Pelodiscus sinensis: one gene and its partners. The protein of the gene in region 2 interacts with the protein of the main gene of each other region in a pairwise test. Links are inferred from orthologs where the notes say so. Each region holds a gene or a part of one and is shown on either strand. Other genes may lie near its edges. The genes, in order: FRYL, HOMER3, EAF1 and MOS.

Region 1 (7,760 bases), on a different chromosome or scaffold from region 2:
TCAGCTTCCCTGGAGTTCTGAACACAACAATTCAAGATACAGAGTCTCAACAGGTGCTGCAGGAAGGGAACAGGCACCAGTTGAAACATCTTAAAAAGTAAACTGTCTCTCTTTTTAAGAGGATGTTTCCATGACATGGAGACATGAAGAGGACAAGGAGAAACGTAGATCTAGATGATCCCAAGTTAGAAGATGTTGGTGCTGCAAATACAGTGTCTGAAGGTTCCAGATAATAAGACGAAGTGTAGCAGAGTCCAAGGCAAGACCGCGCCTCATGCCTATGGATTCTGAAATTTACAAGACTGCCTCTAGGGCAAGGAGGATACGAGTGGCAGATCTCTCAGTCGGATACAATCTTTATTCCCCAAAGCAGTACAATCAGCTCTTGTGTTGATCACTAACCAGGAAGACCCACGTACAAGCCAGGCAGGCCTAGAAGTCTTGGGCATTCTAAAGTGCCTCAAACAGTGAGGGAACAGGACGAAGCCCATGATTCCTACTATCCACAAACTCACTACTATGAATATAGCTAATAAAAATTATTTGCAAAATACAAACAGGCAGAAGAGCTAAAAGCTAGAATGCCACACATGGAAGGATTCCATCCCAGATTACAAGCAATAGAAAAGAACTGGAGAGGTGATTGCACTGTGCCATCCCTTATGTCCTCAGTTTAGAGCTCCAGGAAAAAAGAAGGGCCCAGGTTTGGACCAATAAATGCTGCTATAAGTTTCTGGCCCTAGGAACATAGAGCATAAGCACACCCACAGTGAATACTGATAGGATCAGCATTCAAAAAAGAACTTCCAGTGAGTTATCCTTAAGCATGCTGGCAACAGGAAGCAGGGTTGCCAAGTGTCCGGTTTTGAACTGGACAGTCCAGTATTTGAGCTTTCTGATTGGGAAACAAATTGAGAAAATATAAATATCCAGTATTTTCTAAATAAGATGTAATGTAGATTGTGATGTAATATCAAGTGTGTCCGGTATTTTTGTTGAAACCATCTGGCAACCGTAACAGGAAGAGAATTTTACCCTTTAATAAGTTATCAATGGCTGATGACGTTACATGTACAGCAAGCGATATATTCAAATTTATTACACACTTTTACAATTTGGCCAACAAAACAAAAAATTGATTCTTAGCTTCCATCCACCAACACAAGGTAACTTTTTTTTTTTTTTTTTTTAAAGCCAAACCAGTATTTTACACTATGTCTGAAAGGCTTTGGGGGGGGGGGAAACAACACAAAAAGAGGTAAATTTCAGAGCAGAGGACCCTACAATCAGAGGGTACTGTCACCCCTAGAAATTCAACCCTTGGGATTGAACAGCACAGAGCATTGCAGCTGATTGCAACTGCTATGACCAGGAATGAGGGAGAAGCTAAAAAAAAGAGTGATAACCAGCTGGGTCCTAGACCGTTTAGAGCTTTAGAAAGAGTCATCAAGCCCTGAATTGCTTCCCAAAACTAATCTTCAACCATATACCCTCTGAAACAGCTACGTAAATAAAATTTATTTAATCTCTAAAAAAACATAAAATGCATAATGTTTAAACACCGATCAACATGTTGCATGTGTACTGTGGAAAATCTTTTTGTATATAATTTTATGAACAAATCAGGTTTTTAAAGGATATAAAAGAAATATGATTCAACTTTACAGTTGTTCTATACACAACAGAAAAATCAGTACGTTGTAAACTATTCTTTATGTTTTTAAGAAATTTGGACTAGTCCACATACTATTCAAGTAAAAACATTAAAAAAATATATTAAAAAATACTTTAGAAGAGACTTTAATAGCATGAAAGCACACAAAATACAAAGTTTACAAAAGTGGTATAAGGATAGAATTCTGCACTGAGAATCATGTAAGCTGACCCCTACATACACATAGATCTCTACCAAAGGCCATGGGAATCCTGTGCATCTCCTAGTTCAGGATCAGGGCCACATTTTATGTTCCAAACCCTTATTTTGAAAATGGATGTTCGTCTTAAGTTAAAAGTCACATGCACATGTGTAATATACTCACACAATACACCCTTAATTATGATATTATTTAAACAATTTCACAAAATATTAACTATTGGTTTAAACACTTTTGAAACTATAGATTAAAACAGAAGAAAAACATCCACAATCGTAATGGCTTTCTGAAAAAAAGCCTTTTCTAATACTCAACAACAATTCAGATTATTTCATCAGAGAAAAAGTTTACAATAGTTAATGAAGTTTTACTTTACCAAGTTGGTGCTGTGGATACATGCTGTAATTTGAAGGTGAGAAATCTATCTGATCTTCTTCATCTATAGTCTGCCCTAACGAAAACAGGCTGACACGTCTCATCTTCAATAGCCTTGGGGAACTTCCAACAGTATTTCCAATATCCAGTACCACATCTCCAGAAATTACAGCAGGAACTACTTTTTTTAAAAAGTCCATTTTTTTGTTTTGTTCCGTCTACTTTCCCCAACACGAATTAGACTAGCTACATAACACACACCCAGGTGCTTGTACAAACTTCCTTGAAGAATCAGTAAGGTGGACTACTTGAGCTACTTTACACAGTGATGTCATGCTGAACCTGGGTGGTGCCAAAACCAGCAGGTCAGCTGCCAGCTGCTGGCAGGCTGATTTCAAAGACAGTTTACTGTACAGACTGATAACAAAACAAAATAAGCAATTAAGTTACTGGAATATACAAGAGTTGATCAACTGCCACAAAACAAAAACATATTTAACACTACCATGATTTTAAACCAAAATGTTATAAAACATCTAAAAATGCAAATTTATTTTGACAGTTAATTAGCTCTTCATTTCAATTAAGTGCACAGGGAGGCACATACTTCTGCATTCACAGATAAGTGTTATCATTTAGAAACCCATTTCTCAGCTTTACAAACAGAGTTACTAACAGCTCAAATATTCCATGCTTTGAACAAATTACATTCTTGAACAGCTTTGCAAATGGTGCATTAACATTTGCTTATGCTACCACACAGAAAAACCTCTTATTCTTTATTCCACGCTTTTACATTTGGGAATAAAAATCAGCAAATAATTAAAGACATCAAACCATTTAAAACTAAAATTAGAGATCTATAAACACACAAGTGAAGTTGGTTTTTACCCCATTTGTGACTATGAAGAAAATACCACAACATTCAAGAATTATTTGTACATTGCTTCTTGTTTTGAATGTCTATTAATGATCAGACTAGACATTTTTAGAAGCAGATTTTACTGACAAAAAGCAGCTCAGGCGCCAAGCTGTATTTTCAAACCCTGATTAACAAAATTATCTCGCCCACGAAAATTCTAATTTTAAGTACACAAAACTATTTTATAATGTATTTTATTTTATCTTTTTTCCCCTCAAACTTGCCTTTAAAATTAGTCCTCACAGAAATTCTCACACAGTAAATCATACAAAATAGGCTACATAAAATAAAACCTACTGACTTCTGGGTTTCACAATGTAATAACGGATTATACAGATATTACCAAATAACTAAAACTAAGGTGTTAGCTATACTTGGAAACTATTGCAGATTAATTTGAGCTATTTCACATTAAGTTGCCTTGTGTCCACAAAATTATTTTTTGATAAAATCATTTGGTGTTTTAGTAGGTTTTATAAAAGCCACTTGAAGTGAGTTTATAGAGATGTGGGATGAACTTACATGCAGCAAAGTAGGTGTAAATGCATCCCCATCTCAAAACAACTGATGTGCACTTGCCGTGTCTGTCACCTGGTAGCCCACATTGCTTTGCTTGCTACTTAGGATGACCAAAGCAGGATGACCATTCTGTTTACTTGCATGCCCTCTACTAAGCGTAACTGTTTACATGGTTAACAAATGAGCCTGGGCTAATCGGGTAACATGCAAGGTTACATGCAGCCCTTGCCCACTCCACCCATCTGACAGGGGAGAATATGAAATCTGGAATACTGCTTCCACCTGCCTGGATCGGGGTTTATGTGATGAGGTCTCTGAATCTGATTGAAGTAAGTTGTCATACTCACTGGAACCTGCCTGAGAAATTACTGAGGGCAGGTAAGCAGGTGAGGAGCAATCAGAGATTGTGGATGAGCGCCTGGAGGTGCGGTGTTGCTGAGATGTAGAGGCTATGTGCCTTGAATGGTAAGTGTGGGAGGACCACGGTTGATATCCATGCCATGTATCCCACGGGCTCCACTGAGGTAGGAGCTGATGTGGAGGAAACATCCATGGTTGGCTGGGCCAAATAGGATGTGGTTGAAGGGAGTGATTCCTGTATGAATTCCAGGAAGTTAGTGATAGAGAAGGAGAGGAATGGCGTGATGAGAGCCTGCTCCTATGCCCGCTACCATAATCAGATCTTGGAGATAGTGGTGTAGGCAAGTTGGGGCCACTCTGAAGTGTTAGCGTGCCCCTGCGCCATGGAGCATGGTGAGGCAGTTACTCCTCTTGATTCAGGCTGAGGAGATTTTTATAAGTGCCACGTTTTGTGCAGCGCTTTCTTGTGCTGCGGTGCCATAGAGCAGTCAAAATCACTCTGCCCAGTTAGATTGGGTGCAGAGGGAGAGTTCACCGGAGCTGATGGAGGAGGCATATGCAGCTTATCTGAAGCTGCTACCTCAATGGCACCAGTTGATGTGGCAGTCTTAATTTGTGCCTCAGCTCTCCTGACTGGCACTGACTTGCGTTTCTCCATGGTACCAGAGACTGGTGGCATCAGGGAATGAGAGGCTCTAGGCAGCTCGAACAGGGAGCGTGCCGGTGTTGAGAGCCTTTGTGGGGTGAGGAAGCTGCCCTACCCGAGAGCTTTTGCTGTGCTGGCATCTCATCTAGTTTGTTCCTTGGTAACTGAAGAGAGTTTTCCTAGAGAATAGTCTTGAGCCATGTTTCAGAGTCTTTTCTGGCCCTTGCCGTCATATTCAGGCAACAAGGGCACTTTTGCGCCACTTGAGACTCTGCCAGGTATTTGACACATGAGGCATAGCCCTCTGAGGTAGGCATTGAGTCTCTGCATGAATCACATTTTTTGAAGCCAGGAGAACCTGGCATTGTCGCAGAGACAAAAAGCTGCGCCACCACGGTGGGTGCCGGGTTTTTTCCCCCCCGGAAACAAAGTGAACATTGAAAAAGGTCAAACTAACTAAAACTATGAGGTATAAAGCTAAGACTAATGGAGGATTTCTGTTTTTCCTGTCAGGAGAGGACTGCATAAAAAAAGCCAACTGTATAAAAGGCAAACATCTTCCTATTGGTTCTCTCCCCAGTGGCTATAACCACCACACTGCCTGCAGTTATAGGCTGCCACACAGCTTTTTCTAAGCTAGCACATTTATTAAACTGAAAGCATTGCAGGAAAAACATTAAAAACAATGAAAACCTACACACATACTAAAAAGCTTTCCATGCATCATCTGTTTTGTGGCCTTCCTAAATCAAATTTTCCAATACTTCTGCAAGGATTTGGGGACCTTCTGGCACAGAAGGTTCTGTTTGCTGAATCAGAATCAGCTGAAACTCAGGCTACTTATTCAACAGTTTTTTCTTTTTCTGTTGCGCTCTGGAGAATCCAGTATGTACTATAATATATGAGAGAATCTCCAGGTGGTGGTACTTCTCTGAGGATGTTACAAACTGAGCCAATTTGCCTAATCACCAGACTGTTCTCTCCCTTAGAATTACATACAATCCCAACCCATAATGATACAGCAAGATCTTAATACAGTAACATCTCTCAAAAGGTATTACAGGAAATTGATTTGGCACAAGTGGAATTTGGGAGAGCATCCCTGATTTCCCTTCCTCCCCCCATTTAAGCTCTTGCATTGCAATTTAGGAGAAAGAGAACTGACTTCTAAAAGATGAAATACAGTAGGGTATAGGCAAAGAACACATAAGGGGTATGGAAGGACACAGGGAGGGATCCTAAATAACTGGTGGAGGGAGTCAAAAGTAGGATAAAAAAATGGAACAAGTTGGGGGATGGGGAGCCTGTTGTAAAACTAGGTAAATACATAGATGAGTTGATGTACCTTTCCTGGAAGGCCTCTGTGTGCCCCCAAGAGTACACAAACTTCTGATTGAGAACCACTGCTACAGAACTTGGGCTTCTTTGTAGACTTGTCCCAGGAAACCTTTGAAATGTTAATATTTAAATTGTACCTGCATTCTTCAAAAGATAAAAGCACCTAGGATTTCCTTAGCTATATACAGGCAGTCCCCGACTTACGCGGATCCGACTTATGTCGGATCCCCACTTACGAACGGGGCTTTTCTCGCCCCGGAGCTCACGGGCGGCGGGTCGCCACCCGTGTCCTCCGGGGCGAGAAAAGCTTCACCCGGTCTCCCTGGTCTGCTGGGGGGGTCCAGCAAAGCCGCTGGACCCCCCCCAGCAGACCAGGGGGACAGGAGCAAAGCCGCGGAGCACGCCCGCAGCGGGACAGCCGCATCTCCTAGGTCAGCAGACCAGGGAGACGGAGCAAAGCCGTGGAGGACTTGGGCGGTCCCGCCACCCCCGTCTCCCTGGTCTGCTGGGGGGGGGGGGTGCAGCTAGTGCCCCCCCCTCCTCCGCAGACCAGGCTTTTCTTGTCTACCCCAGTAGCGCGGCTCCTCGGCGCTCCGGACCAACCCGGCAGCACCCCAGCTGCTCTGCCCCAGGCATCCTGATTCAGCCGCTGCTGGTCAGTTTCAGCAGCGGCTGAATCAGGATGCCTGGGGCAGAGCAGCTGGGGTGCTGCTGGGTTGCTCCAGTAGCGCCGAGGAGCCGCGCTACTGGAGCAACCCAGCAGCACCCCAGCTGCTCTGTCCCAGGCGTCCCCAAGTCAGCCGCTGCTGAAACTGACCAGCGGCTGACTACAGGAAGCCCGAGGCAGAGTTGCTCTGCCCCAGGCTTCCTGGAATCAGCCGCTGATCAGTTTCAGCAGCAGCTGACTTGGGGACGCCTGGGTTTCTTAAGTTGAATCCGTATGTAAGTCAGAACTGGCATCCAGATTCAGCCACGGTTGAAACTGATCAGTTTCAGCAGCGGCTGACGCCAGTTCCAACTTACATACAGATTCAACTTAAGAACAAACCTACAGTCCCTATCTTGTACGTAACCCGGGGACTGCCTGTATTTACAATCTAAAATGAATGAAAATAATTATCACAGTTGAACCAAAAAAACCAGAACCTTCTCAACATCTATATCCTCTTTCAAATAGTCAGTGTTACCGCATTTAATAAATATACATAGAATCATAGAATCATGATTAGGACTGGAAGGGACCTCGAGAGGTCATCGAGTCCAGCCCCCCGCCCTCAAGGCAGGACCAAGCTCCGTCTACACCATCCCTGACAGATGTCTATCTAACCTGTTCTTAAATATCTCCAGAGAGGGAGATTCCACCACCTCCCTTGGCAATTTATTCCAATATTTGACCACCCTGACAGTTAGGAATTTTTTCCTAATGTCCAATCTAAACCTCCCTTGCTGCACTTTAAGCCCATTACTCCTTGTCCTGTCCTCAGAAACCAAGAGGAACTAATTTTCTCCTTCCTCCTTGTGACACCCTTTTAGATATTTGAAAACGCTATTATGTCCCCCCTTAATCTTCTTTTTTCCAAACTAAACAAGCCCAGTTCATGAAGCCTGGCTTCATAGGTCATGTTCTCTAAACCTTTAATAATTCTTGTCGCTCCTCTCTGTACCCTTTCCAATTTCTCCACATCTTTCTTGAAATGTGGTGCCCAGAACTGGACACAGTACTCCA
Region 2 (7,433 bases):
CTACTCCTGGGTTAGTCATGGGAGTGAGTGAACAGGGTGTAGCTTGCTAACAACCCAATTTGCTCTGTCTCTGCAGGGCTCAGCCAGCGGGTCTTTAAGGGCCTGGCTGCTCTAGCCACTAGACCACATGCCCTTCCTGATCTGGGAGTGCTATCCAGGGAGTTCTGACTTCCAGCCTTTTGCTTTAACCAGAAGAGATACTGCCTCTTCTCTTCCGGCTCACAAGCTCTCTTAGCTCTGTAGCTCACTTCCGAGCCATCCTGCACACCACCACTTTGTGGGAATGCAATGGTGAGCTGAGTGGCCAGATGGGGTGCAGAGACACAGGACTTGCAGTCCTCCCTGCCTCCTCCCCGCAACCCGGCCCCATCCCTGTGGATGAATGGAGCAGCGCAGCCTGTCCCTCCTAGAAAGCTCCCACCCACTGTGGTGGTGAAATTAACCAGCAAAGCTCAGCATGAAGGTTGAAAGTGACTCTCTCCCAGCCTGTTTGTAGATAAAAGGCTCCGGAGGAATCCTGGCTGATTATGCCCCAGTCGGATTAGCCTGAGGAACACAATGCCAGGCATGCAAGTTCAGGCCTGGGGAAGGGAACCAGGGCACTTAAAGGCCCAGCAGCATTGCTAAGCATTTCTACCAGACACCTATTGCTAATGCTGCTCCAGTCTTTACCATCTGTGAACACTCCACTGGGCTCCACCACGTTTCTGCTCATGTGTCGTTGTACAACAGGGGCACACACATGGAAGCCTGCACAGCTCTGCCAATGCACTTTAGCTCTGACTTCACTGTTTTCAGCATTGCTCCTGGACAGCACTGGCAGGTCTCCCGAAACACGCCCAGCAGCCAACACTAAGCATTTCCGGAGCCTGTCCGATGCTAGTTTGAAATGTGGACCCAAATGCCCAGTATGGACACAGCTAGGAGGTAAATGAATTCACTTCTCCTGTGACCCAAGTGACATTTACAGCTAGCTATTTAAAGGTGAAAAGGCAATGCTTCAAAACCTACACACACCAGGGATATGTTAGAGTTCAGGAATGAATTATCCATGAAAGCTACACCCTGGATATTACTGGGACAAGGGTTACAAGGAAATCTGACCACATGAGGTGTTCAGAGTCAAAAGGGAGGGGGGTGGGAACGACTGACCGCTAGCTTAAAATACAAATCAACTAAAACTGACTGGTGGAAAATCATTTCAAAGCTACCGCTTTCCTACTCCCTTAGCAATCCAGGGGACTAAACCTGCTGCTGGTTATTCAACATTTCCATGTAAATCTATGCACAAGACAAAGACCTTCCAGCTCTGAAGTTCTCTGTGACAGAAAACCAGGCGGGGAGGAATGTCATCTGCACATGAACTATAGCATTGCTGCCTTGACGCTATCATTGTAGTAAAATCTAAAACTACCCTCACAATGACCGCAGCGTCAACATTATGCATGAGAAGTGGCACCCGTCTAAAGAAATTGCATAGCCACTGGGTGTAGCCACAGCAGTTGCAAGAAACAGGGGACTGTTTCTGATCTAACTTGGCCAAGTATAAATGCCACTGGCTTAAATAGATTTACTCTAGGTTCACACTGAGACTCTGAGATCAGAATCCGTATCTATGTCCCTCCTGCCATCTGAATCGGTTTCACCCTGTTCAGTCTTTTTATCCGGCTGCCCAAGAGAGAAATAAAAACCCAGCAAAAGAAACACAAACCACTAAACTGTTACTTATTTCTCCTCTAATGTCAAACTCAAAGGCTTGGAGAAATTGAACAGGCAGGGGCTTCCTCCAGCCCCAGCGTGCTTCTTAGCAGCCCAGAAGTGTTCATTACACAAGCAACTTACTCACAGCAGCATGCCAGATCCTTAAAATTACACAGTTGGGGTTATTACCAGTGCATAATCAAATATCAAGCTACATTTCCATTTCTATGCCAGTGCCTGATTGAATATATTTCACCCCGAAAGAATTTACGGGTTATGATCAGAGATTTTTCAGTCACACTATTTACCCACTTAGAAATGTAAGTTGGGTCCATTTTACTGAATACCGAGGTCACAAGAGCAAAACAAAATCAGAAATCTCTAACTTCTGGAAACATCTGCAAAGGCAGTAGGTCCTTTATGTCACCCCAAAGGGCCATTCTGAATTGTATACAACATATGCATTCCCCTGGAGACTTCCAGCCACATCCTGGGTCACAAAGTAATTTACAAATCTCTGCAACTATCTACATCCTGAATCCCGAAAGGTTAGGGGCCTTTTTTTATATGTAAACTTGAATTTCTTTACTGCAATTGGAAATCCTGATCTCTTCGACTCTGCTATATTAAAAACACACCACGTTTTATACATCATGAATACAATAAACAACACAACCACCAAACTGCTAATCTCACCCCATCTCCAAGTCGGTGTCAGGTTTTTTTTTCCTGGTCTCTTCTTGGATCGTGTTAGATTCACTCCACGTTTTTATTTATTTTTCCCTTCCTCTTCTCTTTCTCCGGATCCGGATGCTCTATAAATTTCCTCCGGAATTTCACTTTGAAATCCGCTAGTTTTGTTGTTTGAACAAAAATGACCTATAATCCCAAAGCATGCACGGGAGGGGTGACAGTTAGGGCAACCTTCCTGGGTGGGAGATCTCCCCACCAAGAGCTACAGCCCAGGAGATCCTAGAGAGAACTTTGGAACACACTTTGCTACGGAAATGTTGCAATCTCCGGCAGGCAGTTTCTTCCTCGATCTTGCTGACGGGGATCCCCTCTTCCCTTCAGCATGGGCAGCAGCCACAAGATTATTTGCTCCTTTTGCTAACCCTTTGCAATAATGCCGCCTCCCTCCTATTCCAGCGACGGAGTTGCTCTGTAAGTTTTTTCCACAGCCCGAAAAGTGAAGCTGTGTCCACAGTTTGTCTCTCTCGATCGCGATTTCTTTGTTCTCTCTCTCTCATTTTTTTATCCGCTTCCTGCCTCTGCCAACTGCCCCATCTCGGTCACATTTCTCTTTCTTTCTCCTGACTTTATTTCCAATGGGTTCCATCTGGCTCAGAGGCACCATCTGCTGGGCACAGCTGTACTGTGCACCCACAGTAACACCAAGCAGCTAAATTACCAGCACCACACAAAGATGCCCCAACCCCACTTCCCACCGCCTTCGTTCCTGGGCTTTCTTCCAGGGTTTGACCCCTATGCTGTAATCTGACACAGCCTCTGAGTTTGTCTAGACTAGGAGGGAAGTTGTTTGGTCAGCTAGTCCATGTTAAAATACAATTTGCTCTTTCTAGACTAGCATTTTCAAGCATGTTGGCACACGTTTTAAAAAACAAACCCGACACCTTTTATCTGAGCCTAGAGACAGAACCTTTCCGAAAGACAGTGCCTGATCCCACTATTGCTCTGTTCCTTGCACTGACATCTATAGCTGTGCAGGGCGAGTGCGAAACACTGGCATGTACATCTGGTTACATTTTACATCCACTTTGCACAGGTGAAAATAGCTGAACTAGGTTTGAAGCAATGAAGACAGAGGCCTCTAGAGAAAATGTATGAACAAAAGGGAAGGTTGGATGGATAAACACACCAGAATCTAGAGATGGAGACAGACAAACAGAAGCACTAGGCCCCAAGGATGCAAACAGATTAGACGGTATTAAAAATATCTTAATGCATATAATAAGTAGCTTAGCAGTTGCAGCAAACATACCTATTATGAGAATACTCAAGGCTTTAATCAGAACTGAGACGCTATTGTGCTGAGTGCTGTTCAAACACAATGGGCCAGACCCTCCCCAGGTGAAAGTCCACGGACTTCCCCAGCATTACACCAGGGATGAGCATAGCCCTATATAGTTGGATGATTATGTGCTCAGCTCTCTGGTGACTTGTACCTTTTGCAATCATTTGTGCCAGTGCAAAATGCTACCAGATTAGAAGGGCAACATTTTACATCCCCGTTACATAAGAACGGCCAGACTGGGTCAGACCAAAGGTCCATCTAGCCTTGTGTCCTGTCTTCCGACAGTGGCCAGTGTCAGATGCCCCAGAGGGAATGAACAGAACAGGTAATCCTCAAATGATCCCTCTCCTGTCATCCATTCCCAGCCCCTGACAAACAGAGGCTAGGGACACTGTCCCTGCCCATTCTGGCTAATAAATATTGATGGATTTATATCTAGTTCTTTTTTGAACTCTGTTAAAGTCCTGGTCTTCACAATATCCTCTGGCAAGGAGTTCCACAGGTTGACTGTGCGCTTCATGAAGAAAATTCCCTGTTTGCTTTTAACCTGCTACCTGTTAATTTAATTTGGTGACCCCTGTTCCTTTGTGCCACTGCAAATGATAAGACACAAAGCAGAGCAACACAGGGTATATATTTGTCTCCAAGTTGTTAATAAGGAACATACAGTTACAGTAAGTCTACATTATGTCAGCAAAATTTAAGGCACTGTTTTTCTGTCTTAGGGACCAACATAAATCAGTCAATCACATCTCGCCATGAACAGTACCAGCTACACTGGAGGTGGATGGGGTGGGGAGAATCAATGGTCTGTTGTAGATACTTTGCCCATTAAATTCTGGCAGCTACATTTGTACCTGGGTCTGAGTGTGTGAGCACATGCACTCACTAGAGCAGGCAACCGCTGTGCAAATGTTCACATTTACTGCAGCAAGACAGTATTCCTGGGCTTCTCCCCATCCCAATGAACACAGCTCTTCCAATCAGCCTTGATTTATAGCAATGCCACAAACAGGGCTCCCACAAAAGGCACTACCACGGTGTTTCAACCTCCCACTAGTCTAACAGCAGGCCTGACCTGAGCAGATTGGCTGTGGTGTTCAAATGTGTGGCTACTGCACGAGTCCAATCTCATTTTTTGCTTGTATTTTATTAGGTCGCCCACATTAATAAGGAAAAGAGTTTGCATTAATTCCAGGCAGTTCTGAACTTTACTTTCCATGCCCTCATAATTTCTGGGCACTGCAGGCTTGCACTATAATGATAAGCTGTGCCCATGTCATTTCCCCAGGAAACTCAGGAAAAGCAGCTGTTCTTTGAGCAGTATTTAGATGGAGCTTATATAAGGATGACAAACAGGAGGTTTTCCCTAGATAAGACTGTAAGCTCTTTGGGGCATGGGACTTTTTGTTATATTTGTGCAGAGTGCCTAGCATAATGTAGCCAGGTGCCTAATTCGGACCTTTAGATACTGCAACAGTACTGATGCTGGTCCCCTCCTCTCTCTATTATCCCCTCCACCTGCCTTTCAAATGTATCTAGAATCCTCATCCTTTGTCACCAGCATTCACAGTGCTGGGACAAAGCACGTGCCAGTGTTTTAACCATCACGTCAACTACAGCTAGACCTTTTCTGAGAAAAGTGAGATAATGCAATGCTTAAAATAGCAGTGCAAACCAATGATACCTCTATGCCAGAGCTCCCAACATTTGACACCAGTGGAGCTGAACAAGTGTTAGAACTGATGGGAACATTTTGAAATTTTGCAAGTGGACCCTTGAATAGTCACTGTCAGAAAGTTTGTGGCAACAGGTGAAAAGTTTCTGATGCCTCTCTTAACTTGAGCTGGCAGACTAACCAGCAGTTCCCAGACTGCCTCCTCTCTCAGGCCCAGAGCCAAGTTCAACACCAGGACATGAATGAATTGGGTCCTTACTCCTTCTACTCCATTTTCTCTGTCTTCATACACACAACCTGGCCACCAATGATAAAGGGACTACAATAAACCACTGAAGACTCTGCTGAAAGTAGGACACACAGTATTTTTCATACTGACCTGCTAACAGTAGGTTATCTCTGGCTCTTCTTAGAAGCTAATTATTTTACATGTTAAAATTAGGGTAATGAGATCAGCAGGAATTGCACTAAAATCAGGTGTTAGTAACCTTGTAAGGATGTCCTTTAACAGGGTTTTTGTTCCATTTGCGCCTTCTCCTGCTGAAGGAGGACAATTAATATCTTCTGCCCTTCAGAAGAGACCAGAAATTAGATATTTTGATCATCCCCCCTCATGTCATTAATTACCCAGCCATTGTCAAGTTTGCACCATTAATCTTCCCACAGCTCTTTAAACAGTGGCTGAGAACACAGACAAGAGCACACAACAGATCACTGCCTAAACTTAAAGGGTATTCTTAATGGCAGTATAATCCCTTTCAAAGCACATTCACTGTCCAAGATACATACCTTCAAACTAGTTCTTTACATTTCATTGCTACAATGGGTGACTGCAATCAGAGAGGACTTAGCATCACGGTTTTGCAGCAGCTCTTCAGCCTTCTCATTTTCAGTTCTACATTTTTTATGTAAAATCTTCTTACTCTCTAACTCCATTACTTAATAAAGGCTGATGGCTAGTCCCACCATTAGCTCTTTCCTTGAAAAGTGCAAACTGCTATTAATTAGCACCTGCAAAACTGCCAAATATAAATCTGGGAACATGAGCATTGTTGGATGTTTAGTAAATTTTAATAGCTGGCCACAATTGGTGTGCAAATAGAGGTCCTTGTTGTAAAATAGATGTTTTAGGGAATAAAAGATGCATTCAAAAGGAGAGATTGGCATTCTGCGTTAGTGTAAAAATACTTTAACCTGTAGTGTGAAGGAAGCTTTAAACAACAAATAATTTGGTCTTTTCTCTATGTAATTTATATAGGTCATTAGACTGCATTCACCTGGTTTCTAGACATCTTTTTCAATTATCTTTTTAAGCAGATGTGGTAGTGTGGCAGGAAAGAGCACCTGCCCAGGAGACGTGGGTTCAACCTAAGTCTGGAAACTTCTGCTGCTAAGGCAACTTGAGAACTGGAGAACGCAAACTGTATGGCTACGTCTAGACTGGCATGATTTTCCACAAATGCTTTTAACGGAAAAGTTTTTCCATTAAAAGCATTTGTGGAAAAGAGCGTCTAGATTGGCACGGACACTTTTGCACAAAAGCACTTTTTGCGGAAAAGCGTCCATGCCAATCTAGACGCGGTTTTGCGCAAGAAAGCCCTGATTGCCATTTTTGCCATCGGGACTTTTTTGCGCAAAACAGTTTTTAGCTGTCTACACAGGCCCTCTTGTGCAAGAGGGCTGTTTCCCGAACGGGAGCAGCATAGTGTTTGTGGAAGAACACTGACAATATTACATGAGATCATCAGTGTTCTTGCGCAAATTCAAGCGGCCAGTGTAGACAGCTGGCAAGTTTTTCTGCAAAAGCAGTTGCTTTTGAGGAAAAACTTGCCAGTCTAGATGCAGCCATATATATGTTTCGAAGGAGAAAAGGAAGCAGTAGAATTCAATCATTCTTTGCATGCCTCTGGCACCAGACAGAGAGAGCAAGAGAGCACAGCAATTTCTTTGGGTATTTCACTGCTGGAGAACTCAGACCGTTCTCCAAAGAAGGAGACTGAGACATTTTAGATGACATTT
Region 3 (7,485 bases), on a different chromosome or scaffold from region 2:
ACCAACCTTTACATATTCAACAGCTCTTGGAGAGAAATCACAGGCATAAGCAAAGATATTCAAGTCCTCTTCTAAAAGTGGAAACAAGCAATTTCCAACCCCACAGCCTGCTTCAAGCATGGTCAGTTTCTCATCTTCAAACTATATGGGAGAAAGAGGCCAAGGATACAGCATGTCACTTGTGTTTGATCTTTATATTACGAAGATACCACTTTTCACACTTTAAAGTTAGGATCAGCATTTCAATTATCCGTCTAAAATCTGATGGAACCTGTCACTCGCAAAGGGCACAGCAAAGTATAGGCTTTCATTTAGATCACAGTAAGTTTCTCTTTAGAAACTACTAAAAACTCATTATTGATCTACTCATTTCAGCAGTGATCAAATTAGCAGAAACCCTCACCATTCGTGGTATATACAAATGGCGAAATTTGCAAATACTGGGAGCTATGGACCCTGGCTCCTGGGGGAAGCTCCCCGTGGCTCCCTAACAGGAAACTCACCATGGCTCCCGGCACCTCAGCGAGTTCCCCACAGCTCTTGATCACACCATCCCCTTCAGGTCAGGAATGGAGACCCCATGAATATGCGGAACCCCAGAGAGCAATTCCGCGAATCACGAGGGTCTCCTGTATGCTTTCCTCTATGCCCTGGCCCTTTTGTAAAAAGGGTGAACAAATGCATTTGAATATGATTTTTTTAAATGTATATTTTAATGCTTTGACTATTCTAGATAGTCAACTTTGTAACAGGGTGCAAAATTTTGAGCAACTTGTGTTGGAAAAGAGAGAGAGAGAGAGAGAGAGAGAGAGGATCTTAGATCTAATTTAGGACACTAAGCAAGTGTTCTAGAGCAGTGGTTCCCAAACTGTGGCGTTCAACTCCATAAAGATTGCAGAGCAACATATGGCAGGTCCCAGGTGAGTTGAGGAGAGAGCATCACACTGCCTTACTCAGCTCCCCAGCTCCTCTCCAACCAGGGCCATACTTAGGATTTATGGGGCCCTATACAGTACTATTAAACTGGTGTCTCTATGCCCAACAGCATTTGGGGAGGGAGATTTCTTTAGACACATGGTTTTAAAATCTTCAGCAGCACACTAACATATTTTTATAGAAAATTTTAAACCAAGATCCTGTAGACCAGGGCTACTCAACTTTGGAAGCCTCAGAGGCCACAATAATACAGCACATGCCGAGGGCCGCAACTTAAGTGTCGTTGCTTATACATGCAAATTGCTTCTTTCACACGGGTTGGCATGAATACAAAGCACTTCCCACATTCCCCAGGACTCCCGGCACCTCCTCCCTGGGGGCTAGAAACGCCAGCCCGTCCGCTTGCATCTTTCAATGCTCACCCCACCTGGCAGACGCCTTGCCATTGTGGAGCGTGTTCCCAGTGGAGGTCATGTTCAAAGATTCCCACCTGCAGGCCACGTGTTGAGCCCCGCGTAAACCAAAACTGCACTGCAGGCCGCAAACATACAGGCCATGGGCTGTGTGTTGAGTAGTCGTTCTATAGACTCACACAGTACATTCAGAACCTGACAGTACATACTAGGGATGTGGAAGTTTAACCAGTTAACTGGGAAGCATCACCCTAAATTGGGGGGCAGGAGTAGCTCCCCATCTGTTGTGGGCAGGGAGCTGCTCCAACCCCACCGGGGGCCCATCGTGGACACAGTCGGGGAGCAGTCCCTGTTCATGGGGAGCCCAGGCACCCCACAGGCAGGGACTGTTCCAGCATCCGCAGAAGCCTCTGTCCATGGGGGAGCCAGGCGCCCCACAGGCAGGGGTTGTCCAGAGTAGCCTCTGAGGAGCTCGGGCATCCCACAAGCAGAGCTGCTCTGTGAGGGCTGGGTGTCAGCATCAGCCCCAGCCCATGTGCAGGGGTAGTGAGCTGGCAGATCCAGACCCAGTATGATGCTGGGAGTGGGAGCCCTGTAGGCTGGGGGCTGCGCCAGCCAGGCTGCAGTGGTCCCCAGCCCTGATCTCACTTTAGTCAAATAACCAATTAAATGTTAGGCTAACCTAATGTTTAACTGATTAAGTGGGATTTTACATCTCTAGTATATACCTGGGGTTGGCAAATGCCTATTTAATGGCTTCATTATTATCTGAATGGCTCTTTCACAGGTTCAATGTGCTGCTAGTAGGTCTGACATGCTTTTTCACTTTTAAGTGAACTATATCCTCTATGGAAGAAGTAGAGCCACAGAAGAGGAATAGGAGGAGGCAGTGGGTAGACATTAAGAACCAGTGGTGACCCAAATTTTCAGGTACTCTACACATCTGTGTATTCTAAGTATAGGTAAGGATGGGTCAGTCTCCAAACTCTGCCCCAGCCTCCATTCCTAGCCACAGCTGCTGCTCCTGGCTTCCCCCACAGCCATACCCGTGGTCCAAGCTCCACTCCCACTCCTGGCCCAGCTCTGTCCGATTCCCTCTCCAATCCTAAACCATGTCTGGCTGTAGCCTCAAGGTCCTTTCCCCTTTCCAATGCTGCCCCCAATTTTGCCTTCCACCCAAGCTCCTCTGCTGAGTCAATGATGCAGTAATGTGGGGTAGAGAGAGAGTGTGGACAAATTCGATTACTGGTAAGGGGAGGCACAATAGGAAACGTTTGGGATCCACTGGTCTAGAGAGTGGGTCTGAATGTAAAATACAGATCAATTATAATATATTATTCAAAGATTTTGTAATAGGTTTTGGTTTTTTTAACTTTTGAAACTTTCAGTTGGGTCTTGACGGTGCCTCCTCTTGGAGACAGGGAGGGGAAAACAGGATGAAAGGACCAATCAAAAAACTCTTCAATTTTTTTATATCTTAAAAGTCATGGAAGCTATCAACTCCACAACATTGTGCACTTGGGGTATGTCTACTTCATTAGTAGTATTTGTTCCTTTATTTGTAGAATTAGTGTATATGGCTCACCTCCCGACATGCTTTTAAATCTTCAAACTCCCTAGTTGTCCAATGCCGATCTTTAAAGAAGTTTGTGCTGTTTCTTTTGTAAAACAGATCCCAGTTCTTCTGTGCCTCCTTCTCTAGTTTCAGTTTTTTGAAGTCAGACACCAAAACTTGCTCTCTTGCCAGTTTCTCAGCTTCTTCAGAGCTAAGGGTCCTTGCACTATGCCCTTTCTTTTGGAAAGCATCATCTTCACAAATTGGAGATACTGAATTCACATAATTATCAGATGTATTTTCTTGGGACATCCTGGATTAATCCACAGGAATACAAACACAACAGATTTAAAGTGGTTTTTTCCCCCCTCATGTATTTATTGCCATCTTTCATTTCAGATCAGACAACCTGGAAACATAAGAAACAATGAGAAAAGAATTATAGTTTGCAGTTCCTGTACCAGAGACTCCTCCCCAACCTCTCCCCCCAGGCAGCCGTCCCCCACTTCCTTCCCCAAACCCACCCTGTACCAGAGACCCCCCCGCCCGCCTCCCCAAACAGCCCCTCCCTGTACAGAGACCCCCCCGCCCGCCTCCCCAAACAGCCCCTCCCTGTACAGAGACCCCCCCGCCCGCCTCCCCAAACAGCCCCTCCCTGTACAGAGACCCCCCCGCCCGCCTCCCCAAACAGCCCCTCCCTGTACCAGAGACCCCCCTCGCCCGCCCCCCCAAACAGCCCCTCCCTGTACAGAGACCCCCCCCGCCCGCCTCCCCAAACAGCCCCTCCCTGTACAGAGACCCCCCGCCCGCCTCCCCAAACAGCCCCTCCCTGTACCAGAGACCCCCCTCGCCCGCCCCCCCAAACAGCCCCTCCCTGTACAGAGACCCCCCCGCCCGCCTCCCCAAACAGCCCCTCCCTGTACAGAGACCCCCCCGCCCGCCTCCCCAAACAGCCCCTCCCTGTACCAGAGACCCCCCTCGCCCGCCCCCCCAAACAGCCCCTCCCTGTACAGAGACCCCCCCGCCCGCCTCCCCAAACAGCCCCTCCCTGTACAGACCCCCCCTCGCCCGCCCCCCCAAACAGCCCCTCCCTGTACAGACCCCCCTCGTCCGCCCCCCCAAACAGCCCCTCCCTGTACGAGACCCCCCCCGCCTCCCCAGACAGCCCCTCCCTGTACCAGAGACCCCCCCGCCCGCCTCCCCAAACAGCCCCTCCCTGTACAGACCCCCCCTCGCCCGCCCCCCCAGACAGCCCCTCCCTGTACGAGACCCCCCCCCGCCTCCCCAAACAGCCCCTCCCTGTACAGACCCCCCTCGTCCGCCCCCCCCAAACAGCCCCTCCCTGTACAGACCCCCCCTCGCCCGCCCCCCCAGACAGCCCCTCCCTGTACGAGACCCCCCCCGCCTCCCCAAACAGCCCCTCCCGCTCTCCTAGCGCGGACACCGAGTCTTGCCCCAAACTCCGCCCCCTCTCCCGGTTCCTACCCGCGCGGGGCGGGGCGGGGCGTAGGCCGGGCCGGACGGCTTTGGCGGTGACACGCGGCCCCGGAAGGGAGCGGAGCGGGGCGGGCGGGGGATCCGGCGTGGCGGGGGCATGAACGGCTCGGCGAACCCGCTGCTGGACAAGGAGGAGCACGCGCTGCAGCTGGGCGAGAGCTTCGAGCGGCGGCCCAAGGCCTCGTTCCACACCATCCGCTGTGAGCGCCCCCCCCCTCGCGGGCACCCCGCCCCGCCCCGGGACTCGCCCCGCCCCCGCACCCCCCCCCCCCAGTGTCACGTTCGATTAATCCGCTAATCGAGTAGTCGATGGAATTTCCATCGGGACTGGGCTAGTCGCTCAGGGGGCGCCGCCCTCCCCCGGCGGCTCTTGCCCGATTGGAAGGAAGAGGCGCAGCGGGGACCCTGTGGCGTGGGCGCTGCGTCCATCCCTGCTCCCACCTTCACCCTCGCCTGCCTCTGCCCCTCCGCGGAGACGGTGCTGGGGGAACGGCTTTTAGGTTTGCTGCCCCCAGCACGGCTCCTGCTACCCCCCCCCCCCCATCCCTTGGTGCCTCTGATATAAGCCTAGGCTTTTTCGGTAGTCAACTAGTTGCTTACATTCCTTACCCCCCCCCATGTATCTTCCTCCTTAACCTACCCAGCTCCCCTAAATCCTCTCTGAGCCCTAGCCCCTCACTCTCCAGTTTCCCCTGCCACCACCCCAACTCTTGCGCACACCCCTTACCAGCTCCCCCTCCACTCTCTCTGCTCCCCTTTCCTAGGTTCTTGCCAGTTCTGTGGAAAGCAGCAACTTTCCGTTACAAATTTAGAGGGAGGGGGGGAATAAAGTGAGGTTAATCTGAAAGTAACTCAAAATTATGGGAAGGGGAGAGCGCATGCGCACAGAGGGCAGCGAGCTTCTTAGTGAATGTCAGATCAGATGATGTATCAGTTTAAATATTATACTGTGAAAGATGCAGGACTATGGTTTCACCTGAGAGAGTCTGAAAGAGGGAAACCACAGCCACCCAGTTTCTTAAGATTTATTGAAATGTCTATCAGAATCCTTCAATACAATGTAAAGAGCACAACATGTTGTCCCCTATTCCCTCCAGGAGGAAGCCTCTATCTCTGGATGAGTAATATTTAGCCAGTCTGGAAGATGAGTTTTGAAAGTTTTCAGATGATACCAAGTTTGATAGCTAAGTTTGCAGATACCACAAAGCTGGGAGGGGTTGCAACTGCTTTGGAGGTTAGGGTCATAATTCAAAATGATCTGGACAAATTGGGGAAATGGTCTGAGGTAAACAGGGATGAAGTTTAATAAGGACAAATGCAAAGTGCTCCACTTAGGAAGGAACAATCAGTTTCACACATACAGAATGGGAAGCGACTGCCTAGGAAGGAGTACTGCAGAAAGTGATGTAGGGGTTATAGTGGACCACAAACTAAATATGAGTCAACAGTGTGATGTTGCAAAAAAAGCAAACATGATTCTAGGATGCATTAACAAGTGGGTTGTGAGCAAGACAGGAGAAGTCATTCTTCTGCTCTACTCTGCACTGATTAGGCCTCAGTTGGAATATTGTATCCAGTTCTGGACACCACATTTCAAGACAGATGTGGAGAAATTGGAGAAGGTCCAGAGAAGAGCAACAAGAATGATTAAAGGCCTAGAGAACATGACCTATGAAGGAAGACTGAAAGAACTGAGCTTGTTTAGTTTGTAAAAGAGAAGATTGAGAGGGGACATGATAGCGGTTTGACAAGGTTTCACAAGGAGGAGGGAGAAAAATTGTTCTTCCTGGCCTCTGAGGATAGAACAAGAAGTAATGGGCTTAAACTGCAGCAAGCAAGGTTTAGGTTGGACATTAGGAAAAGTTCCTAACTGTAATGGTGGTTAAACGCTGGAATAAATTGCCTAGGGAGGTTGTGGAATCTCCATCTCTGGAGATATTTAAGAGTAGGTTAGATAAATGTCTTTCAGGGATGGTCTATAGTACTGGGTACTGTCATGAGGGCAGAAGACTGGAGTCGATGACCTCTTGAGGTCCCTTCCAGTCCTAATATCCTATGATTCTATTTTCTCAGAGTGCTTCAAGCTTCTCTGTTGGGGAAAATAGTCTACTTTTGCTCTTTTTTGCCTCTTACTATTAGGGATGTGAATGTTTTATCATTTATGTTTAACTGGTGGGAGCTGGAGCCTGGGAGCCTCTGTAAATGGCAGATAGCCTTATCTAGCAATAACATATTTGAAACAAGTTTTTACTAGGGGGCTACACCCTCTGCTCGCTGCGCTCTCCTACCCCCCTCTCTCTGGCTACTTTTGCTTTGCTTAGAGAGCTTGTTGACGCTGATTATGTCATTTTGTCACCCAGCAGGAGCATTCTGTCATCCAGCAGGAAAATCTTTTTTATATATAGAGAAAGATTTGTAATTCAAAGATTCAAAAATATACCCACCATTACCTCAAATGAGCAAAATTAGGCTCTTCTAGTGATAGAAGTCCTAGAAGTATACAGCTAAAAATACATTGGGGTTGTATCATTCTCACTTGCTTATAAGTCACTTTAAAGGACAATATCTGAAAGGATGAAGACAGTGGATCATATCTTCAGGAGAAACTACAGCTTTTGAAGTATTTAGAATGTAGTCATAGTCTGAAATAGCTTCAGATCAGATTATGCACTTTCTAAACTAGAATATTTTTTGTGACCACTGGACCTGAAAATTTAACCTGGGATCAGTTATACTGATTTTCCCTCCTTCCGGCATACCACTGTAAGATCTTATAGACCAAAATTCTTCTCTCCTTTATAACATCCAAAAACTCATTTTCATCATCTCTTGGCTGTGAGGTTCTATAGTACTTGGACAGTTTTATATGCTTCTTAGCATATATGCAGTGTCTTAGGTGGCACGTGACCAGGATCCATGGCCCCTTCCCCAAGTCTGCCACTGCCGCTGCTGAAACTGACAAGTGACAGAGCAGAGCTGCTGGGGTGCTGCCGGGTTGATCCCGCAACGCCACCGCTCACCCCCCTGTTCAGCTCCAGGCAGCACCCCAGCTGCTCTGCTCCGCCCTGCCGCTTCCCCAAGTCT
Region 4 (6,760 bases), on a different chromosome or scaffold from region 2:
TCAGTTTATCTTTAAGAACTTAAATTGATGAAAAACCATCTTACTTTGTTGCCAGGGTGCTAAACAGGCACACAAGTGACCCAACATCCTTATTCCTAACTCATCACACATAAAATGAATTGACATTTGGGGAAGTGGAGGAAGAAAGGTTATCTTCAATGTCTGACTGTTCTCGGTACATCTACTTATAGGATGTATGATCCGTATCTGTTGGGAGAATTGGGAATGAGAAGGAAGGTTATCAATAGACAGATACATGAAGAGATTTTCAGAGGCAGTTGAAAATACTGCCTCCATCTCACATTTTGCAAATAGTTAGCTAGATTGTTACAAGATGCCTATCACTCTGGTCTGAGGCATTTATAAAAATGCTTTTTGGTGGCTTAACAGTCATACTTCACCCCTCAAATACCATAGTTCAAAACCAAAATTCTGTTTTCTCCTGGGCAAGGCAGATGATATAGCAGACACATTTTGGACAGTCCTGCCTCTATGTATTTCCTCAACACTGACCAAGCTAATTTTAATCACTTTATTTATAGAAATCTCAATCAACAGGTACATTTTTTTTAACCTCTTTGGACAAAATAGAGGTCAGATCCACAATATGCTAATGCAGCCACACACACACACACAAAAAGGATCAAGAGAAAAGCCAGGCATAAAAGGGAAAAAGAAGAAGAAAGAGACACCACAGAACCTGCTATTGTCTATCTTGCAGTGAATGGAGGCTTTGAAGCAGCATTTCTGCACTGGGACGTTCCTCTGCATCAGATCTCCAGCAACTACTGATAATGGTCTCAAGTCTTTGGCCTGAGACTGTCTCAGAGAAGATTGCAGCAGCCAGAGAAGGACGCAAGTTATAGGCTACCACCGCATAGAGCACATATTGGCGCTCACCCGAGTAAGGCTGCTCACGGGTAACCATTTGCCAGAAGGTGATAGCAAAAGAATAAATGTCTGCTTTGGGTGTGACCCTCTCCCCTTTGAGAAGCTCAGGGGCACGGTGGGTATATGTGCCCCCCTGCTGGCAAAGCTGGGGACCTGGGGACACACTATTCTCCAACTTTTGGGAGCACCCAAAGTCTCCGATCTTGCACACACCCTGCTCAGTGATGAACACATTAGCAGGCTTCAGGTCCAGGTGCACAATGCATTGTGAGTGGAGGAAGGCTAAACCAGTCACAATGTCAGAGCAATAAGCCAGGGAGTCAGTTATGCTTAGGGGTTCTCTGCCACACCCATCCCATTCATCCTCTCCCTTTCCCCGCAGGCAGCCCATACCATAGATGACATGGTGGAGGGTAGTGCGGCCAGTATATTCCATGATTATGGTGCCCAGGCTGTCTTGGCTGGCAGGAGCACAGGTGCTGGCAGCTACAACACGTACCACATTGTCATGGAGGAGGCGGGCCACATTCAGTTCAGCCCAGAAACTTTGCCGTGATGCCAGCCGGTTTTTGCTGCACTTCTTCACCTGCTTCACAGCCACCGTCTCCCCACGGTAAGTAGCCTTGTAGACGGCCCCAAAGCCCCCAGAGCCCAAGGGGTGTAGTAGGCACAATTGATCCCAGTCTATAGAGCACCATGCCAGGCGGGGAGGCAGCCGACGAGCCCTCGGCGGCGGAGTTCCCCCCAAGAAGAGTTTTCCGCCTCTACCAGGGAGTACCAGGGGACTACTGCAGGGCCTCAGGTCCAGAGAAGGGGAAAACTCCAGGGAAAGAAAACTATTAAGAGGGCTAGGGGATGGCATAGTGAGATAGGAATAAGAACAAGAGCTGTATTTAAAAACAAAGAAAGAATGGCTAAGAGCCTCCTGAAAAAGAGGAACAAAGTAGTTGTTTCCAGAGCCTCTTTTATTCCCCCTCCTCTCTCCTCCCAAATAAGCTGCATCTGTCACCAAGTACCTGAACCCCAATCAGTTTCAGCTGCAAACACTTTTCTCCAACTCCAAAAGCAAATTCCACTCGAATCAAGGCTTTTAAAGAAAGCTCTTTGATACAAATGGGATTTAGGCTAAAATATGTCAACTCACATTATGAGATACTGGCCTTTTGTATTCATTTTTCTTCCCAGGAGAAAATGTTACTTCAAGTACCCCCAACTGACTGTCATTAGAAAATATCCCATGAGTGAATGGACTACAGTGACCAAGTAAAATGTTTCACTGTTGGCAAGAATGATAGTCACCAGGTGCATTAAACACCTCTCAGTTATTACTGGAGGAAGCAGTTGAAACTGAGAAAGCCAATACTGAGAAGTCTGTTAAGAGAATGATTGGTGGCAAAGATGGCTTCCCTATTTGTGAAATTACCTTTCCCTTCTCATGTCCTACTTGGTTAGTAAAGCCACTTTTGAGCTCATGATACAAGATAAGAGGCTGGTGCCCACTGACCTCAGTGGAAATATTTTCATTCAAAATATCCTAATGCTATGTCTTTGGGGCATGCTGCAAAGCCTGTCATTTTTTCCTGCTTTTGGTGAGGGACAATTATGATGATGGTGAAAGGGTGCAATGTGAGAAAGGAATAGGAATCTAGATTTTGTTGGGGAATTATAGATGTCGATAATAGTGCATTTAAAAAGTGTCAGGGCACCCTAGAATAGGGATCCCCACACTGTCAGCTTCCAGGGCCATACCACTCAGTCTTGCTCTAAGGGCAGAGCAGATTATAGAAAATGTCATTTTTTAACATAAATCTAAAGGGGGTAAGAGACTTTTTCCTACCCTAAAGAGCTTATAGATAATATAGACAAGACAGCAGAGGGTGAAAGTTGTGGGTATGATGAGGCAGAAGTGTGCATGATGAAGTAGATAGGAGCTTGGGGGGAAAAGCAAGAGGGGAGGAAGAGGCAGTGGAAAAGTAGGGAGAAGATGAAGTGTGAAGCAGCATGTGGCCAGGAGAAAGAGAATGGAGAAGTCTCTCTTACAGACTTAGTTTTGTCTTTGCTGCATCAAGTCCTGGAGTGTGCTTTATCTGTAGATGTGCGTACGTGCTTGTTGTGATTACGTTCCTTGGGAGACCATCATGTTCTACCACTGCAGTTCTATAGGCCAGTGAAAACAGTGTTTGCACCAAGAGCAATATATCCTGAAAGACAAGTGGCCCAGTGGTTAAAACAAGGATGGGCAACCTTGTTTGGGTCAGGGGCTGCTGACCCACAAAAAAGTCAGTCAGGGGGCTTCACACAAGTGAGAAGCGGAAAAAAACCACCTCTCATTGAGGCGGTCCCCAATGGGAAAGGGTTCTCCACATTTCCCTTGCACACCAGAGCCTTGCGGGAGGAGAGGGGGGACGACAGTCTAGTAGATTTTGTGCGCTCCAGCCCTTTTGAATGCTGCATGAGAGGTTTGGAGGATTATATAAAGGAATATTTAAATTAAGAACTGGTGCTGTCAAATGATTAAAAATATTAAACGTGATTCATTATGCTGTTAAACAGTAATAGAATACTGTTTATTTAAATATTTTGAATCTTTTCTACATTTTTAAATAGGTTGATTTGAATTAAAACACAGAATACAAAGAGTACAGTGATCACTATATTTATCTTTGATTACATACTGATGCTGTAAAAACAAAATAGTATTTTTCAGTTCATCTCATACAAATACTGTAGTTCAGTCTCTTTATCATGAAAATTCAATTTACAAATGTAGAATCATATATAAAAACTGCACTCAAAAAGAAAACAATGTAAAACTTTAGAGCCTACAAGTCCACTCAGTCCTACTTCTTGTCCAGTCAAGCACTCAGACAAACAAGTTTGTTTACAATTGCAGGAGATAATGCTGCCCACTTCTTGTTTACAGTGTCACTTGAAAGTGAAAACAGGCATTCTCATGGCACTATCATAGCTGATTTTATAAGATATTTACATGCCAGATGCACTAAGGATTCATTTGCTTCATGCTTCCACCATCTTTCCACAGGACATGAATCCATGCTGACGATGGGTTCTGCTTGACAATGATCCAAAGCAATGTGGCCTGATGCATGTTCACTTTCATCAGATGCTACCAGCAGAAGACTGATTTTCTTTTGGGGGGGCGATCGCAGGGGGGTGCATAGTGCAGTATTGCTCTGCACCTTGTCCCTTTCTGATTTTGGAAGGTACTTCAGATTCTTAAACCTTGAGTTGAGTGCTGTAGCTATCCTTAGAAATCTCACATTGGTACTTTTTTTGCATGTCAAATCTGCAGTGAAAGTGTTCTTAAAACAATCATGTGCTGGGTCATCATCCAAGACTGCTATTACATGAAATACATGGCAGAATTCATGTAAAACAGAGTAGGAGACATACAATTCTCCCCCAAGGAGTTCAGTCAATATTTAATTTAACACTTTTTTTTTTAAACAAGCATCGCCAGAATGGAGACATATCCTCTGGGATGGTGACTGAAGCAGGAAGGGACATTAGTGTATCTGGCGCATAAATACCTGGCAACCCCAGCTACAAAAGGGCCCTATAAACACCTGTTCTCACTTTCAGGCAACATTGTAAATAAGAAGTGTGCAGCATTGTCTCCTATAAATGTAAACAAACTTGTTTGTCTTAGCGATTGGCTAAACAAGAAATAAGACTGAATGGACTTGTAGGCTTTAAAGTGTATGTACATTTTGTTTCGGGTTTGAGTGCAGTTATTTAACAAAAAATCTACATCTGTAAGTTACTCTTTGACGATAAAGAGATTGCAGGAACTGAATGAACTAAGTTGAACTTGTATGAACTGAAAACTATTTCTTTATAATTTTTACAATGCAAATGTTTGTAATAAAATAATATAAAGTGAGCAGTTCTGTATTGTAACTGAAATCAATATATCAAAAATATTTAATAAACATCAATTGGTATTCTATTGTTTAAGTGTGATTAAAAGAGATTAGTCAATTATTTTTTAATCACATGCATTAACGGCCCTATTAAGAATATTCTCTATCTCAGCAATGAGAATTTCCCCTCTCATGTTATTCTTCCACTCCCCCCCCCCCATCTCCATGTTTCTGTTTTTTGGAGGTACTTAATGGCCACATCATGTTGAACTCAAAAGTCACTGCAGGCATGCAACACCTTTCTAAAAAACAAACAAACAAACAAGCAAAACTCGAACTTTTGGTTTTTGTGCTAGGAAAAGCATTAGCCTGAGGAACAGGAGGAATAACTTAAAGGGCACCGTCAACTGGAATTTCTTTACATCAACTCATTTAAACACAGTCCACTTTCTGGTTAAGCACCTTTCAAACAGTGCACTATTTTCTCTCTGTTATCCTTTTCAAAGTGATTTTATAAGGGATTTTCTGCTCTGATGTTGATGATTCAGGTCTTTCCACCTCCACTAACTTCTCCAATTTGCAGTTGTCATCGGTGTCACTTGCTTGTAGCGATGTTAGAGAACTATGTTTTCCACATTTTTTATGTTCCTTCATCTCTAAACATGAACACACAGAGAAAGCAACTTGTATGTCTTTATAAGTGTTTGTTCTATTGGATTTTGGTAATAAAAGCATATAAGGTTAAACTCTTTAGGTCCTAAAATGTGTCTTCTATTAAGGAAACTAATTCTTGTGCATGACAGCAGTTGCAGGGGAAGGAAGGGGGAAATGAAGCAGAATTTTTAAAAAGGGAAACAGATTTTTAATAGTTTTGATTTTCGTATAACACAATTAACACTGCACAATACATTACACAACACATTACTGAAGAGTGTCTTTTTATATTTAATGCACCAAGCCCCTCATTGTTGGGGGTTCTCAGTTACCCAAGTTCAGAAGAGAGAAAGAGATGCACTAGCAGGAATGTGCGTTGAACCATTTTCTGTATCTGGTGTCATGATCCTTATTGACCAGGAGGGGGTGCACTCCCCTTTATTTAATAAAATTCCCAGTACAGCAGTTCTACTTTATCCCATGCAATTCCACCTTACATAGCAACCTATGCATGTGAAAAGGAAATACAACCAGACCACCAACAAATGGCTGCTTCTTCTAGTCACACAAAACAGAGAGGAAGCTGCATCAACTGAAAAGCATCAATGAAACGTCAGCTTGATGTTTGAATGACTCTTGAAATGTCATTAGGACCAGATACATAACAAGAGATTTTAAAGTCAGGGTTGTATAGTTCCCCTTTAAAATGACAATATTGTAAAGTGCGTCCTATTACACGAGAGTTGCAGTATAACACAGGTGAAATAACTATAGCAAGATTTTTTACATCTGCAAGGTCAATCCTTAAGTGCAATATTTTTAAAAAGCAACAAATGATACTGCATTTGATGCTCACACAAACCTCCTTTAAGAATGAGCAAGAGTTCCAAGTGCAAAGGGAATGCAGGATCAGCCCCAATGAACACTGGAGTTTATCCTATCATATCTAATGTTTATAAATTTATTTTATTATTACAATTAAATTCTGACAATGTTCTTGTTGCTGTACAAGACAAACAGCAAATAAATAGTCCCAGTCCAGCAGAGCTTACATTACAGTCTAAACAACAGACCCAGATAAAACATGAAACACTAGTGATTCTATAGTTATCAGCAAATATATTTTTTAAAATGATCAAATGTCCTCTCTCTGGGTAGTGATGGAATTTTATTAATATGCACTAGTGTTGGTGGGTGTAGAGAAGTACTTAAGATGAATTTGAAATATTTTAAGCCTCAAACAAATTAGTACAAAATTGACATTTAGAATTCAGACAATTTGTGTATGGTTTGTTGTATTTTCCCCCCAAAGAATTCTCTCTCCATTTCTA

Evidence for each region.
Region 1: the proteins of HOMER3 (region 2) and FRYL interact in binary tests that used the Homo sapiens proteins (3 or more experiments, as listed by UniProt). The two-hybrid records come from large-scale screens. The link is inferred for Pelodiscus sinensis from reciprocal best matches to the Homo sapiens genes HOMER3 and FRYL.
Region 3: the proteins of HOMER3 (region 2) and EAF1 interact in binary tests that used the Homo sapiens proteins (3 or more experiments, as listed by UniProt). The two-hybrid records come from large-scale screens. The link is inferred for Pelodiscus sinensis from reciprocal best matches to the Homo sapiens genes HOMER3 and EAF1.
Region 4: the proteins of HOMER3 (region 2) and MOS interact in binary tests that used the Homo sapiens proteins (3 or more experiments, as listed by UniProt). The two-hybrid records come from large-scale screens. The link is inferred for Pelodiscus sinensis from reciprocal best matches to the Homo sapiens genes HOMER3 and MOS.

The regions. Positions count from the first base shown.
Region 1 is NC_134715.1:87,080,000-87,087,759, reverse strand, and holds the start of FRYL (protein furry homolog-like), read right to left. Parts: upstream 3,001-7,760; 5' UTR 2,450-3,000; coding exon 2,251-2,449; intron 1-2,250. UniProt on the Homo sapiens protein: Plays a key role in maintaining the integrity of polarized cell extensions during morphogenesis, regulates the actin cytoskeleton and plays a key role in patterning sensory neuron dendritic fields by promoting avoidance between homologous dendrites as well as by limiting dendritic branching.
Region 2 is NC_134729.1:19,308,827-19,316,259, reverse strand, and holds the start of HOMER3 (homer protein homolog 3), read right to left. Parts: upstream 3,023-7,433; 5' UTR 2,403-3,022; coding exon of another isoform or gene 2,398-2,402; intron 1-2,397. UniProt on the Homo sapiens protein: Postsynaptic density scaffolding protein. Binds and cross-links cytoplasmic regions of GRM1, GRM5, ITPR1, DNM3, RYR1, RYR2, SHANK1 and SHANK3.
Region 3 is NC_134712.1:181,743,948-181,751,432, forward strand, and holds the start of EAF1 (ELL-associated factor 1), read left to right. Parts: upstream 1-4,467; 5' UTR 4,468-4,498; coding exon 4,499-4,601; intron 4,602-7,485. Other genes in the region: tRNA N(3)-cytidine methyltransferase METTL6, read right to left, coding at 7-141, 2,935-3,216. UniProt on the Homo sapiens protein: Acts as a transcriptional transactivator of ELL and ELL2 elongation activities.
Region 4 is NC_134712.1:64,407,321-64,414,080, reverse strand, and holds MOS (proto-oncogene serine/threonine-protein kinase mos), read right to left. Parts: upstream 1,902-6,760; 5' UTR 1,754-1,901; coding exon 704-1,753; 3' UTR 519-703; downstream 1-518.